Drosophila melanogaster: one gene and its partners. The gene in region 2 interacts genetically with the main gene of each other region. Each region holds a gene or a part of one and is shown on either strand. Other genes may lie near its edges.

Evidence for each region.
Region 1: of klar (region 2) and Lam, changing one enhances a phenotype caused by changing the other (phenotypic enhancement), as found in Drosophila melanogaster (one study listed by BioGRID).
Region 3: of klar (region 2) and osk, changing one suppresses a phenotype caused by changing the other (phenotypic suppression), as found in Drosophila melanogaster (one study listed by BioGRID).

The regions. Positions count from the first base shown.
Region 1 is NT_033779.5:5,540,874-5,547,178, forward strand, and holds Lam (lamin), read left to right. Parts: upstream 1-1,606; 5' UTR 1,607-1,787; intron 1,788-1,905; exon of another isoform or gene 1,906-2,451; 5' UTR 2,452-2,458; coding exon 2,459-2,921; intron 2,922-3,164; coding exon 3,165-3,868; intron 3,869-3,933; coding exon 3,934-4,635; 3' UTR 4,636-5,769; downstream 5,770-6,305. Other genes in the region: Hel25E (helicase at 25E), read right to left, coding at 99-217, 280-463, 560-783, 850-1,048. UniProt on the Drosophila melanogaster protein: Lamins are components of the nuclear lamina, a fibrous layer on the nucleoplasmic side of the inner nuclear membrane, which is thought to provide a framework for the nuclear envelope and may also interact with chromatin.
Region 2 is NT_037436.4:537,582-542,479, reverse strand, and holds the start of klar (klarsicht), read left to right. Parts: upstream 1-1,865; 5' UTR 1,866-2,581; intron 2,582-4,898. Other genes in the region: Cypl (Cyclophilin-like), read left to right, coding at 1-250; BORCS6 (BLOC-1 related complex subunit 6), read right to left, coding at 418-463, 521-995, 1,052-1,439.
Region 3 is NT_033777.3:8,933,452-8,938,931, forward strand, and holds osk (oskar), read left to right. Parts: upstream 1-1,674; 5' UTR 1,675-1,694; coding exon 1,695-2,229; intron 2,230-2,264; exon of another isoform or gene 2,265-2,348; intron 2,349-2,477; coding exon 2,478-2,895; intron 2,896-2,990; coding exon 2,991-3,755; intron 3,756-3,813; coding exon 3,814-3,916; 3' UTR 3,917-4,944; downstream 4,945-5,480. Other genes in the region: ScsbetaA (Succinyl-coenzyme A synthetase beta subunit, ADP-forming), read left to right, coding at 5,369-5,437. UniProt on the Drosophila melanogaster protein: Organizes the germ plasm and directs localization of the posterior determinant nanos. Oskar protein is required to keep nanos (nos) RNA and staufen protein at the posterior pole.

The DNA.
Region 1 (6,305 bases), on a different chromosome or scaffold from region 2:
CGCGTGGCATTAACAAAATAATAACTAATTGTCGTGATAGCGGTGGATGCGAGGTGGAGAAGTACGAGCATTTTGGTTATGAACACGTTGATATTTACATCTTGCATGAACTTTTTGCAAACGGGACGAATGTCCTTGCTCAATGTGGCAGAGAACATCATCACTTGTTTGCCGTGCGGCGTGCTACGGAAAATCTCTTGAACGTCACGACGCATATCTAAAAGAATGGTTTGGTTATTAGTAAAACGTCCGTCATTTGGTGATTATTAGTCAACTTACCCAGCTGCTCCAGCATCTTGTCGCACTCGTCGAGCACAAAGTGCTTCAAAAGCTTCAGATTAAGTTTCTTGTTGCGAATGAGGGCGAGAATTCGGCCAGGGGTGCCCACCACAATATGCGGGGTGCCGCTCTTGAGGGTCTCCTCGTCCTTTTGAATAGCCATTCCGCCAAAGAAGACAGCCACCTAAATAGAAAACATATCGAATTAATATATAGTAACTATATAGTCGAACCAAACTTTTTGTTGAATTATATACAATGGATTAAAACGTAGACTCACCTTGACTGTGGGCATGTACTTGGAGAATCGCTCATACTCCTTGCTGATCTGGAAGGCCAGCTCGCGGGTGTGGCACATGACCAGGACGTGGCAGGTGTTGTTGTCCGACGGCTCCAGCTGCTGCAGCGTGGCCAGAACGAAGACGGCGGTCTTACCCATGCCGGACTTGGCCTGACAGAGGATGTCCATGCCCAGTACGGCCTGCGGAATGCACTCGTGCTGAACTGCAAGCGGAGAGCATCGTTAGTGACTGTACCTTTCGTCACTCCAGGTGGAGTGCAAGTACTCACCCTCCGAGGGATGCTCGAAGCCGCAGTCCACGATGGCGCGCAGGATCTCCGGTTTCAGGAGGAAATCGCGGAAGCCGGAACTGTGAATGGACACATAGGTGCCCTTGACATCCTTCTTGGGGGCCTCCTGGTTTTCGACCGCAGTGGTCTCGGTCTGCTCCTCATCCTCGTAGTCCAAAAGATCGTCATTGTCGGCCATTTCTGCGGCTTTCTTACCTTTAACTAGTTATCGGCTATAAATTCGCAACTAAATGCTGGGAAATAAAATGGGTGCGACTAGATAAGTTACATGTGTTTGTTAAAGAAAATGCCGCTTTTTTTTGCGGAACCGGTGCCGGCGTTCCCTCCGCCATTTTGTTTTTTCACCGCACCGCATTACATGTATTTCGAAATAAAACGAAATACCCATTACAAGCGACGATTTTATTTAGTGCAGTGTGATTTTCAGTGTCAAACTCACCTTTTGTGCACGTTTATCACTTTAAAATACAGCTTTTAAAGTGAAATTAACTATTTTAAAATCTTTAACGTGATGCGGAGGAAAAAACAGCGCAGAGCAGTGTGACCGAAGTACGTTTAAGAACTCATGCGAGCTGAGCCGGGTGATATCGTTAAGTTATCGATAGTTGTGCACAACAAATCCATTTGTAAGCTTCAACTAAAAAGTTTTTATAAAATATATGCCTTCTAACGCTTTAAATTAAAATGGCTTGTTGAGCTTAAATTTAATTTTTTTTTTATCATTTTGGGGTCAAGCGGTTCTTAGTCTTTTATCTAGCGCGGCGTTTGGTCACACCAGGCATGCCGGAAAGTTATCGATTAGTCTCTGAAACCATCGCAACAAATTCGATTACACGTTCCAGCGTCGGCCGCGTTTTCCTGCTGCAAGATACTTCATTTTCAAATTTGTGCATTTTCCGTTCGTTATAAAAAGTCAGGTGAGTTGCGCTGCTATCTACGAGCATTAGGAAAACTTGTAGAAAAAGTTGAAATAACTGATTAAGTGCCGAACAATAGAGGCGGCACTGTTTCACTCAAAATCGAAATAACCCCCCTGCCTGTATTAGTGTAAAGTCGCTGTAAATATTGAATTAAAATCGCCATATTGTGCAATTTTTGGCTCCTTATCAAATCGTTTAAAGTGCGTCGACTGGATTAGCTAAGCGTTGCGATTGATTAAACTAGTATTAGCCGCGCCATTTGCCTCCACGCCCATAAACAAACGCCGACAAACTCACTTCGTTTTCCTCGTCCGCTTTAGTACAGTCGCTTGAGTGGAAAGCGATGTGCGTGTGTGTGAGTGAGACGTAGAGGAGACTGCGAGAGAGAGAGAGAGCGCGTTAGAGAAACTCGTTTAGCTTCTGTTTTTGAGCGTTTTGTGCGTTTCCCCTCTTTCGTGTTCGGTTCTGTTTGGAATTTTATCAGGGCGCAAAAATAACATACCCTACACCGAACGAAAAAGTTCAAATATAAGTATTGCATATAAAACGCGTTTAGAAGGCACGCAATTGTGTTATTCAACTTTTCTTCAAGTGTTGTGTCCTAAAGAGGTCAGTCACAAAAATCTCACGTGTTATTCTGCACATTTCATTTGTCTTGCAGCGTGAACATGTCGAGCAAATCCCGACGTGCTGGCACCGCCACGCCGCAGCCCGGCAACACCTCCACCCCCCGGCCGCCATCGGCGGGTCCGCAGCCGCCGCCGCCGTCCACTCACTCGCAGACGGCCTCCAGCCCCCTCAGCCCCACCCGGCACTCGCGCGTGGCCGAGAAGGTGGAGCTGCAGAACCTGAACGATCGCCTGGCCACCTACATTGACCGGGTGCGCAACCTGGAGACGGAGAACTCCCGCCTCACCATCGAGGTGCAGACCACCAGGGACACGGTCACACGCGAGACCACCAACATCAAGAACATCTTCGAGGCCGAGCTGCTGGAGACGCGCCGTCTGCTCGATGACACAGCTAGGGATCGCGCTCGTGCCGAGATCGATATCAAGCGTCTCTGGGAGGAGAACGAGGAGCTCAAGAACAAGCTGGACAAGAAGACCAAGGAGTGCACCACTGCTGAGGGTAAGTGCGTGGAAACTGAATCGATAAGAAAACCTTATAATTGTAGGGCAAAGAAAGTAGAGTAATGATAAAATTAAAAGTAAGAAGAGACAAAAGGCGTGGTTTCAAGCAAGAACGAAACATTCATTTAGTTGCTGAACTGTATATAATGATTATCCCATGATATTCCTCACTTTCTGTGACAAAATCATCCCTATTCTGGCATTTAACGAACATTAATTGATTGATTATCCCAACCCGCAGGCAATGTCCGCATGTACGAGTCGCGCGCCAACGAGCTGAACAACAAATACAACCAGGCCAACGCCGATCGGAAGAAGCTTAACGAAGACCTGAATGAGGCGCTAAAGGAGCTGGAGAGACTGCGTAAGCAGTTCGAGGAAACGCGGAAGAACCTGGAACAGGAGACACTGTCGCGCGTTGACCTGGAGAACACCATTCAGAGTCTGCGCGAGGAGCTCTCGTTCAAGGATCAGATCCATTCGCAGGAGATCAATGAGTCGCGCCGCATCAAACAGACAGAGTATAGCGAGATCGACGGTCGCCTCAGCTCCGAGTACGATGCCAAGTTGAAGCAGTCGCTGCAGGAGCTGCGCGCCCAGTACGAGGAGCAGATGCAGATTAATCGCGATGAAATCCAGTCCCTCTACGAGGACAAGATCCAACGACTGCAAGAGGCCGCCGCACGCACATCCAATTCCACGCACAAGTCCATCGAGGAGCTGCGCTCCACTCGTGTGCGTATCGATGCGCTCAACGCCAATATCAACGAACTGGAGCAAGCCAATGCCGACCTCAATGCGCGGATCCGTGATCTGGAGCGCCAGCTGGACAACGATCGCGAACGCCACGGTCAAGAGATAGACCTTCTCGAGAAGGAGCTCATTCGGCTGCGCGAAGAGATGACGCAACAGCTCAAGGAGTACCAGGACCTTATGGACATCAAGGTTAGCTTTAATACTTGTCTAAAATCGTGTACGTATTAATACATAAATCTAATTATCCTGCTTAGGTCTCCCTGGATTTGGAAATCGCCGCATACGACAAGCTGCTGGTGGGCGAGGAGGCTCGTTTGAACATCACCCCAGCCACCAACACGGCCACAGTGCAGTCCTTTAGCCAGTCGCTGCGCAACTCCACGCGAGCCACGCCATCGCGTCGCACTCCCTCTGCTGCCGTGAAGCGCAAACGCGCCGTGGTCGACGAGTCGGAGGATCACAGCGTCGCCGATTACTATGTGTCCGCCAGTGCCAAGGGCAACGTGGAGATCAAGGAGATCGATCCCGAGGGCAAGTTCGTAAGGCTGTTCAACAAGGGCAGCGAGGAGGTGGCCATCGGTGGCTGGCAGCTGCAGCGGCTAATCAACGAGAAAGGTCCTTCGACCACTTACAAGTTCCATCGATCGGTGAGGATCGAGCCAAATGGCGTGATCACCGTTTGGTCGGCGGACACCAAGGCCTCGCACGAGCCGCCATCGAGCCTTGTGATGAAGTCACAGAAGTGGGTCTCCGCCGACAACACTAGGACGATTTTGCTGAACTCCGAGGGCGAGGCCGTGGCCAATCTGGATCGCATCAAGCGCATTGTGTCCCAACACACATCCTCCTCCCGGCTGAGTCGTCGTCGCAGCGTGACCGCCGTGGACGGCAATGAGCAGCTCTACCACCAGCAGGGCGATCCTCAGCAGTCAAACGAGAAGTGCGCCATTATGTAAAATCAAACGCAGCACAACACAACTCTTTCCTCTTTGCTGAACAAGACAAACAAAATAAGCACACACGAAGATCATAATTTAGAACCCAAAAACACACACACCGAGGTACAGAGATTTATTATTCAGCTAAGTTATTTTTTGTGGCCGCAGCGCCAATTATTTAATCAAAAACATTTGTGTAGAAGACATCCTGAATCTTCGTTTCGTTTGTACACTTTCGTTTTCCCTTTCTTAACAAATTCTATAGTTTATTGTTTCGATGTTTTTGTATTTCCGCGTTAACTAATCTATTGTAAACTTTATTTGGTATAAACTGGAGAGGCATGTTGCCTCTTTTTTATGCCACATAGAATTTACGTAAGACGTTCACTTCTTGTATTCGCGGCGGCAAGAACTTTGAAAATATTGCAAGAAAAACAATATTTTCGATGTACTTACGCTCCACCTACATATTTAGTAAATTAGTTTTTAAGCTATATCCCAGATAAACCAGTCGACGTCAGCAAACAACAACAAAAAAAAAACAACGAGCACGTAGTGAGTGATTTATAAGATACAGGTCAAGAGGATTAACTAAAGAAAACAAACGCTCCTGACAACAGACATATTTATTTAAGTATTTTTTGTACAATCAACATAAAATACATTATACATTATACATACATATACATACATACATTATATATATAGACTCATGCCTACGGAAGTGACAACCAGCCAGCAATATATATTTTTAGCCATGGCCATAGGGTTTACGATCCACCAAAACGGCTTTCTCCCGGTTTAGACCGGTTCTTGAGCTTCCTGCAGACATTTTACCGGACGAGCAACAATAAGAACAGCAACAACAACAACAGCATTAACAGCAACAACACAAATGTACAACAATTACAAAAGCAACAAAGAAGAAAAACGAAAGAAAATGGAAGTACACGTAGCGGCTCAGCGATCCGTCGCATTTTTTATGGGTGGGCGTGGTCGCGTTTTACGCCGGCCAAACAAATGCAACGCCCACACAGACTATTATACAAAAACTGATGAATACAACTAAATTTTAAGTACATCTACGTTTATGTATGTAATTGCTAATAATTTGATAATTAAAAAATAAAGAAACCATGTTTAATAAAAATTAAAAACAAACTTTGATTTAGCAATAGAGAGAAAGACATAAAAAAGTATTAAATAGTTTTAAAGCGTATACTGAAACCAATAAGCTCCTACGAATTTCGTAATAGTAGGGTACGCATTTCACTTTCGACGCCTGGTGGCCCTTTTTTCGTCACTCGCTTTGCGTTTCTATTCGTCGCCATGAGTTATTTTTGGAATTTTAATTTTTCTGCGTCTGTATTAGTTGCCTACATGCTTTTTCAATGCGTGTGTTCGCTCATAAACTTTATTTTTGAGTGACTTATCGATTATTTTTGAGTGCAGGACGTTTCAAAACCAACGTGCTTTCGCATTTATAAATATAATTTCTCTTCTTCTTCCGACCATGATTGTTTCTTTTAAAAATGTTAGGTGTCAACCCTGTCGATAGAGAAGAGAGCAAAATCCACTCAAACGAAACGCACTCAACGCGAGAGATGCGGTTAAAGTTCGTTCAACTGGCAAATGCAGTGACCGTTTAACCCGCGATAACGATAACAAAAGTATCTCAAGGTTGCTTG
Region 2 (4,898 bases):
GCTGCACGGCGACTTGAGGCACACGGGCGCGGGCATCCTCTCGATGGCCAACTCTGGACCGGACACCAACGGGTCCCAGTTCTTCATCACGCTGGCGCCCACGCAGTGGCTGGATGGCAAGCACACGATCTTCGGCAGGGTCTACACGGGCATGGAGGTGGTCAAGCGGATCGGCATGGTGGAAACCGACAAGAACGATCGCCCCGTGGATCCCCTAAGGATCATCAAGGCCAAGGTGGAGAAGCTGTGAGCCAAGGAGGTGGATTTTTTGGAGGAACTGCTAGAATAAGTACGATTTAAACAAGCGAAAGGTATCTTTCCATATGGATTTTATAACACTGATTATATGTATTTACGGAATGACTAGAAAGACAAGATCTCTTTGATTGGTTGATCACAGGATAGCGTAGCCCTATTTTACATGGTGCTGTCCAACATGTCCACCAGCCGCTTGATCTGCCTTCTGCGGAAGAGAAAGTCCATTACACTAAAGGGATCTGTCTTGAATTGACCCACTTACATGCGCTGACCCAGCTGCTCTGTGGGTTTCATCGACTTGGTGATTTCCTCCGCCTTGGCCAGCAATTGGTACTGGCACTTGATATTCGCGTCCAAAGTGTCCGTCAGCTTGTTGACCGCGTTGCGATGGACCTCCACGTTGTCGGCCGTTATGGAGGAGATTGAGTGCAGCAGGTTGCCCAGGTTTTCCATCAGATTGTCCACCGAGCTGGCCAAGTACTGAGCCTCCAGTTCGATGTCGCTCAAGACGCTGCCGTCCACTTCGGGAATGTTGCGCGACTGCAGGAACCGCCGCGTGAGCAGACCGTTGCCGGAAGTGGCTCCAATGGGACCCATGGAGCTCAGGGGCGTGGTGTGCTCCGAGGAGTAGGCCGAAGCCGCCACGCGCTCGCGCAACTTGGCCTCTAGATCGTGGGCCACAAAGTGGCGCATCCCGTCGGAGTCACTGGTTTCGCCGTCCAGCTCGTAGGGCACAGCTGAAAGAAGGAAGATGCTTTAGTCAGGAACTATGGGTAGATAACCTAGAACCCACTGCTCTCTGCCTTCAGTCTGTGCCTTTCGATGTCGCCGGAACTGCCCTTAGAGTTGCTATTCGAGTTGCTGTTGTCCTCCTCCTCCAAGGGATCGTCTTCCTCGTCGGGATCCTCGCCCGAATCCAGGTTAAGGTATTTCTCGCCGTTGGGTCTTGTCTTTGTGCTTCCGGGAATCGCAGCATGGCCAGTGGCTGTGGGCGTCAGATCCTGGAGCACGTGCTCTGGCACCGCTCCCGGATACTGAGCCAGGAACGGAATTTCCGTGTAGGAGGAGGCGGGCGTGGCTCCGGATCCAGAACTCCTGGCTGCCCCTTCCGATGGGCCACTCTCCTCGGCCACATAACCGTAACGTGGGCGGATGGGAATGTCCTGGTGGCGGTGCGACATTCTGCACTGCTCTTTTCAATCCAAGGAACTTTAGGCAGACTAAGAAATGTATGTCAATTTTCTGAATGAAAACCAAAACAAAGCATTTACTGGTATATACCAAATGGTTATCGATAACATCTATTTATCGAATGTATTTGCATTAGGCCCTGTTCAGGCTGAGGTCCACCTTACCTATATCGAGCCTTTTTTACGTAGGATTGACCTATGCAACTTGATGTGCGTAAACTATATTTTCCTAACCCTGATGGAAATTTCGGTTTTAGTGAGAAACAGATTTCAGATGTTATTTGGTTGAGTATATGACAGTTCGATAGTATCGCACACTTACTCTTCACGATTTTGCTTTTACCAAGAAATGGTCACACTCCAGCTCGCACTATCGAGTCATCGATAGGACCGATAGGCCAGCCCGTTAAATCGAAGACAGTCGTGTTTATAATTTGCGGCTCCGAGGTGTGCGGCGCGCATTGGGCAGACTGGAGTGAACTAAGTAAATCTGCAGCGTTCTAATTTAATTGCGCGATGAGCGCGTAAAAACACACCTGCGTAGCGCTGCAATAAAACCAATGTAGATTTTTGTTTATATGTTCGCGTTTCCATCGTATTTTTCGAGTCTTATTCGTTTTAATTGTTAGTGCTCGTACGCTAAGTGAATTGCTAGCAACTTGGGGCTAAAAGTGCCAAAAAGAGCCAGAATCGAAAAGAAGCGGCTAAAGAGGAATAAGCGAAAAGGAAGCAACGAAAACGGTGTTTTGCTCTCTTTCTCCTCTCTCATCCTCGCCATGTGTGTGCGTGTGCAAATGTGTGTGTTGGCGTCGCTAAAAAAGTGCATGTGAAGATTAGGAAAATAATAAGGAAGGCAACGAAAAGTAAAATAAAATTTGATGTACAAAATACGCAAATTGGTGACAAACAATGTACAAGTGGCATACATGAAATAAAGTTTTATGCAAAAAAAACAAAATCGACTGCAGTGCGTGCACTTGTGTGTATGTGCCGCTGCATATGTGTATGTGTGCAGTGTGGAAATAAAGCAAGAGAGAAAAAAAAACTGTTTGCAGCCGGGGTACAAATTCCAATTGGAGTCTCAAGGAGCATAAATTCCCATTCGACGCATGCGTGGCTGCTAAAAAAAGCAAGTAAGTTAAATTGTTTGTACTAAAGAATCTTATAAAATGCAACTGAAAATGGATAAAAGTGTAAAAAAAAGGAAAGACTTTTTTGCCTTCTCTGTTTTCTACGGGTACGTACGAATGTGTGTGTGTGTGTGCTCTCTTCTATTTTGTTCTTGACTTCTTGTTCTTTTCTTCTTCTTGGCCAGTTACTCTTATGCTTTGTCTTTCTTCTCAGGCCGTTCTGCTTCTTTCTTTTAACTGCAAATTGTGCAGTCAGCAAGTATGAGAGCGAGAAAGAGACAGCGATCTTTCTTTTTCACCCACCCACTTCTTCCCCTCTTCCTCTAGCGGTTATATTCGCTTTATTGTATTGGTGCTTTTCCTATCTATATCTACCGTTATGTTTCGATTGCGATTTCGTAATAACTGCGATAATATTTGCTCTCTCTCGCTCTTCTTCTCTTTCGGCTTTCCACTCTCTTCCCTTTTAGTTATGTGTGTGTAACTGCACATTTGAATTGTTGTTGTTTTTATTAAAATGCGTGGGTTGATTTTTCAATCAATCAATCAATCGTTTATTTTGGCATCGATAATATGGAAAAGTGGATTGATATGTGGACAAGAAAAGCATGTGATGAATCAGGAGAAAGGAATTACTCGATAATTAGCTTCTAACTTTTATATTCTGTAAAAAAATGTATTTTTAAACGTCTAAATCCAATAGGAAAAACAAGCAAGTTGGTCGAAAATAAAAGAACTCAATTTCTGGATCCTTGTTTTGTTAAGTATTTCCCTATTTCGCACTTTAAATTCCATTCCATTTCTATAAACAAATGTTGTCGCACTCTTACTGTTTATTTACATCGCATCGAAGAAAGATTTTCCATTTTCATGGGCGACACTTGAACGGGGTTTTCTCTGGCCTTTTCCCACAACCATTTCCTCGTCGAGCACTTAAATGAAAATGCTGTTTTTATTTATTGATTTCCATATTGCATTCATCTCGCGTTTTCCCGCTCGCCCACTCGATGACCCGCTGACCCAGCGGGAAATGGAAAATCGTTTACTGCAACATTTTACTGGTGCCCTCTTCCTAGATTTCCCACCCTCCCCTCTCGTGGGTTTCCCCATTTTCCTCGGGGCGGGGTTAAGGCGATGCCTTGGAGCAGATTAAACGCGCGTCCTAATGCGATTTGCATTCGTCTTTCCCCCGCTTTTCCTTCGACTTTCCAGTACATCGTGCCCGGTTTGGGGTCAGCGACTAGGAAATCTAATTGAGGAAATTCCTATTATTTTCCACTCGCGCGCCGCCTGCTCTTTCATTTTCATTTTCCCCAGCTTAACCCCAAAGTGTTTTGGCTTTAACGCTCACGTGCCGAGTCTCTTTGGGCCAAAGACCTGAAGTCCCAATATGTCAAAATCCCATCTCATGTGCGTGGCCAATTTTGGCCAGGTCTGGTCGGTCTTTAAGCCATGTTTCCTTCTCCTCCGAGATAAGCGTGTTAATGGCTCATTAGCAGTGGGTCGGTTTAGGTCACTTTGGAGCCAAATTGCCTAACCGAAGACTCGAAAATAAGCGAAATATCAACGAGTTTTTAGGCCCAAATCTCTCCCACACTCTTAGCGGCTCTCAAATGGCGGGAAAGTAATGAAGAAATAAATACAAATCATCCAGAAGGAAGTTGAAAATTATTGAATTCATAAAGGAAACGAAAAATCAATCCCAAAGAATGATTGTCAATATCTAATCTCCTAATGTTCGAGTTCGATTAACACAATTGTGTATAATTCCACTTTCCTCTAACTGTTTTCTTAAAATTTTTTGTAAGCCAAATTGAGGTCAGGAAAATTCTTTCAACTCTTGTTCTCTAAAAATAAAAAAACTCGGCATACAAACTTTTTGCCTGATCATCTCTACAGTCATTGTCTTCTCAATTTGGAACTAATTTGGGTAGGGAACTTCAAAAGTGCAAATGAATTTATGAACATTTGGGGTTCTTTTCTTCTGAATAGTAAAAAGGTCTTGGAAAGCAGTATTGAACAAATAGTATACTTAATAGTAGGTACGAATTACTCTAAAACCAAAAATTACAATTTTGTAACTGACATTTTATTCACACCCACTTTTAATATAACTTCTGTGGCACGCTTTTGTTATTTATCTTGCATTATTCGCCCTCATTTCTGATGCTTACATTAATGCACACCCTTCTCGGAATTCATCCCCTGCATTTTGAAGGTGTTATATGTTATATACTGACTGTTATACTGGTGTTCGTTCACCCCCTAGACTTTAAATTTCCACCCGATGTAAGCGATGTTGGTCTTCATTCTTGCTCGC
Region 3 (5,480 bases), on a different chromosome or scaffold from region 2:
TAATTTATGCAGAAATGCAGTCGAACCCAATGAAAAGTGTCGTTCACAAATCTAGGCGGTAAATTGCTTTTTGCGATTTCCAATGCACACCCACCACACGCAAATGCAAAAGTTGTCAATCAAAAATGGTCGTCAATCATGGTAGTAGTTGTTAGAAAGGAAGAGAGTAGGAAAATGTCTTTAAAAATATTAAACAAATTTATTTTTCAGTGGTTACTTCCTACAATTACGCTTATAGAAATACAAGGAAGGTTGCCAAATACCATAAATATATGTATAATTCCTTACCTTACAATCGAGTGACCACTGTAATTCTTAGCTGGGAGTAGAGAGAATGAGAGAGGGCCTGGAATGCAAATTACTATTATTACCGGACAATTGCCCTGTGCTGTGCGAGTGCATTCAAAATATTTGAAACACCACCCGAAAAGGGAAAATTGAATGGCAAGAAAAGCCGGCTGATTCATCCCACTCTAAATTATTGGGCTTACACATTCAGCAAATAAAAATGGGAGAAGGGTCGAGATTTATAAATTGGACCACATGTTCTCGCCCAGTTTTTCTACATACATATAGTATTGTATTGCTCGTCACGTCTCTGCAGCATCCTCTGCAATTAAGGCAAGGCTAGGGAAAATATACAGTCCAACATCTATAAGGAAGTACTTCCCTAAATTACAGATAGGTTGTAGTGGCACTAACTATTGCCCATTCTATATATATTACCCTTTGAACCCATCAACACCTTATTGAAAATTATTTTTTTATTATTCTGATCTGCTAGTTAAGTAAAATTTTTACTGATTTAATTTTTGTAATTTCTTGCTGGTACGCATTACTGATGTTTGACTGTATCCAACTTGCTTAAGCTAAGAAGCCATAATCCTCCTTCCGATTGTCTGTGCTTCTTCCGGGGTGCCGGAATCATCACGAGATGTAAGAAAGCCCCTGAGTCATCCATCAATCGCTGGACTAACCCTCAGAGCAAGTGCCTCCATTACCCTTCTCGGAGTTTCAGGTGCACTTGCTGTATGGATGGATAATCATCTCCTGGGGAATTGCTGCCAAGCAGCTCCATTTGCCGATTAGCCGACAGACCACCAGAGCACCACCGCACGTGGTAACGCTCGTCGGCACCATTTGAGTTATTCTGGAATTTATGTATATGCTACTTCGTAATTGCTTATCAAGCAGCTCTGCAGACCCACTGGCGTGCTGTTTTCTAATCTGGACCAAGAGAAAGGCCATTAAAACGAATGTCCAGCTGGAACGGAGTGCAAACTGCTTTGTGTAATGGTCGTCAAATGGCAATGCAGGTGGTAATTTCGTTTAATTGTTTTTACTGGCTACGTAGACTGCTTTGAATGTTAACCTAATGGTGGGCGAATGGGAACAAATTGATAAAAAAATTAAAGAAAATGAATATATATATATATATATAGGTTCTATATTAGGTTCTGAAAACAGTTTTTTATTTTTTCAAAATTTTTTGGTTGTACCACCCTAATGTATTTTCACAAATTCTGTTGATCTGGAAACATTATCTCTGCAAACTGCTCACCGTTACTTCTGTTGCGCCTGCTCTTTCGCCTTCCAGTACGAAAAGCACCGTAAGTCTCCAAAATGCAGATGAATGGAGAAGTGGACCGCGTTGGCGAGGGATCCAAGAATATTGGATCACTTTCCTCCAAGCGATGGCCGCAGTCACAAGTGAATTCCCCAGCAAACCGATCAGTTATACCAGCACCAATACTTCCGCCAAAACCTATTATCTTAAGTCCGTGAAAAAGCGGGTGACCACGTGTTTCCAGCAGTTGCGCGATAAACTCCAGTCATCCGGTTCCTTTCGCAAGAGTTCCTCCAGCTGCCTCAACCAGATCTTCGTAAGGTCCGATTTCTCCGCATGCGGCGAACGCTTTCGGAAGATCTTCAAATCGGCGCGAAAAACCGAATTGCCGGAGTTGTGGAAGGTGCCATTGGTGGCCCATGAACTCACCAGCCGGCAGAGCAGCCAGCAGTTGCAAGTCGTAGCCAGACTCTTCTCGTCCACTCAGATTTCCACCAAGGAAATCACCTACAACAGCAACAGCAACACCAGCGAGAACAACATGACCATCATCGAGAGCAACTATATATCCGTGCGCGAGGAATATCCCGATATAGATAGTGAGGTGCGCGCCATATTGCTGAGCCACGCCCAGAATGGAATCACGATATCGAGCATCAAGAGTGAGTAGCTTTATGTTTGAAAGCTTTCTTCTTTCCAGAAGTTTCGACTTCATCAAACACTTCAGAACTTTCTCTAAGTGGCTATATTTAGTTAGAAATCTAAAATGTATAAATTTTTAGTAGGTTATTAAATTTTATTTGGATTATATAACTTTTATAGTTTAGTATATTTATTTTAATTTATATTTTTTCTATGTTTCTTTTTTGTAAGATTACCCTTAAATAATTCTATAATTGAAATTCGCCAGGTGAATATCGAAAACTGACGGGCAATCCATTTCCACTGCACGACAACGTGACGGATTTCCTGCTGACCATTCCCAATGTGACCGCTGAGTGCAGCGAGTCCGGTAAGCGGATCTTCAACCTGAAAGCGAGCCTGAAGAACGGTCACCTCCTGGATATGGTGCTCAACCAGAAAGAGCGCACCAGCGACTACAGCAGCGGAGCTCCGTCCCTGGAGAACATACCACGAGCACCTCCACGCTACTGGAAGAATCCCTTCAAACGGAGGGCTCTGTCCCAGCTGAACACCAGCCCGAGGACCGTGCCCAAGATAACGGATGAAAAGACCAAGGATATCGCCACCAGGCCGGTTTCGCTGCATCAAATGGCCAATGAGGCAGCGGAGTCGAACTGGTGCTACCAGGATAATTGGAAGCATCTGTGAGTACTGAAAAGGTGTTTTGTAGACAGTGCAACTATAGCAAAAATAAACCTTTACTTAACAAAATGTACTAATCTTTCTACTGAACTCCTAGCAACAATTTCTACCAGCAAGCCAGCGTAAATGCGCCAAAAATGCCAGTACCCATCAACATCTACAGCCCCGATGCCCCAGAGGAACCAATCAATTTGGCTCCACCTGGGCATCAGCCAAGCTGCAGAACCCAAAGCCAGAAAACCGAACCGACTGAAAACCGCCATTTGGGCATCTTTGTGCATCCATTTAACGGCATGAACATAATGAAGAGACGCCACGAAATGACGCCCACGCCAACGATTTTAACCAGTGGAACCTACAACGATTCTCTGCTGACGATTAACTCGGATTACGATGCCTATCTGCTGGACTTTCCGCTTATGGGCGATGATTTTATGCTATATCTCGCCCGAATGGAGCTAAAATGCCGATTTAGGCGTCACGAACGCGTCCTGCAGTCAGGACTTTGTGTATCCGGACTGACGATCAATGGCGCCCGAAATCGTTTAAAAAGAGTCCAATTACCCGAGGGTACTCAGATCATCGTCAATATCGGATCGGTGGACATTATGCGCGGCAAGCCTTTGGTTCAGATCGAGCACGATTTTCGGCTACTGATCAAGGAGATGCACAATATGCGATTGGTGCCGATTCTAACAAATCTTGCACCGCTGGGCAACTATTGTCACGATAAGGTATTATGTGACAAAATCTACCGATTCAACAAGTTTATCCGAAGCGAATGCTGTCACCTAAAGGTCATCGACATACACTCCTGTCTAATCAACGAAAGGGGCGTGGTGCGATTTGATTGCTTTCAGGCGTAAGACTTTATACCATATACCATATCATATGAGTTTACGATTTGTGCCACTTTTCAGCTCACCACGCCAAGTCACCGGTTCCAAGGAACCCTATCTGTTCTGGAACAAAATCGGTCGGCAGCGCGTACTGCAAGTTATTGAAACGAGTCTGGAGTATTAAGTTGGGTTCTTAATCAAGATACATATATGCAAATTTTGACTGGGCTGGCACCGGAACCGACAAAATAAGAACTTTTTGATGATTTTACGATTTACGCTGATGGATCGCTGCTTTTACGGAATTCGCTTAGTTTTAATATGTTTTATATGTAGTATGTTCTCTGTCTTTGTTTATTTATATGTTCGTGCACTTGTCCTAGTCCATTATTGTATATTATTGTGTGTTTTGTGTTCTATGTTAGATTTAAACTTCTCAATTTTTCGCTGTCTGTGATTTGTTTTGCCAATGCCATTGATTTTCTGCACACTTTTTGCTGCTATCCCAAAAGCTGTGTAAAATAATCAAATGCAAAATAAGCGCAAGCAGCTGAAAACTTCTCTTCAAACTTTTCCGCTTTTCCCAAAACCATTTTGCTTTGAAATCTGTTTTTACCAAATCAGATTAAACTGCAAAATGGAACTTAAATGCAAATCATTGCAATGCTTATAAACTGTTTTTTGTTCTATATACTTTTGTGTGGGTCAAAATTCGGCATGCTCCTGTATCACACAACCTGCCACTTGCCCTTAAAAAGAAGGGCGCAGTGGGCGTGGTACGTATACATATGAGCCATGCTGCATTTTGGCCGTAATGAAAATGCACTGCTTTACTTGGAAAATTCGCTTGCACAAAATCAACGCCGCGGCTGATTTATTATTGATGTGCTCAAGCAAATTCAAGTGAAGCATTTGCGCGATTTTCGTCTTTCTGTTTCCGTTTGCAAAAAAGTTTATAAAATGCTTACACTCTGCTGCAGACACGCCAACCGGAAGTGCGCACTAAGCGCTTGTTTGTAGCACAGTGTAGAATTCTGGCGTAATTTACAGCTCTACTTTAAAGTCTTCTAGATAGCTATCTACTATTTATAAACTTATTTATTGTCTTGAATGTATGTTAATTGTATGTATTGATGGTGATCACGTTTTTTTTGTCCTATAACAAGCTGCAATGTAAAATCCAAAAAAAAAATGAAAAAATAAAATAAAAGGGAAATCAATGATTTTGTTTGCTCTAAGCTATGTTCAAAGTAACTGGGAACTAATCGAACTAATTTCGATTTAAAAGTGGTCTAGATTATATTGTGACATTTGTGAATATATTATTATATTTGCGAATTTATTATTATCATAAAAATAACGGTAGTTGAAAAATAATTTAGATGGCATGCAATATTAAAAGTTCCCGCCAAATTGGCTTGAATCTTTGCTAATATATTACAGTTTCCAACCTTGCATTAAGTTCACGATAGTTTTTCGGCATTTTCGATTGTAAAAGCATAAAAAAGTCCCTGCTATCGAAGCTCTACCACCTCCATCAGCAGGCGACGGCAAAAAAATCTTGAAATGTAAGCAGTAACGTCAAAATTCGCTTTCAAATCGTTAAACGTACGTTCTCATTCGATTTCAGAACAAAATGGCTTCATTCTTGGCACGAACTGGCGGCCCCCTGATCGAAACCGTTAGGCCAGCGGCCATAAAAAAGGTGAGTTCGCCAATTAGTAGTCATATTTGTGTGTAAAAAATGC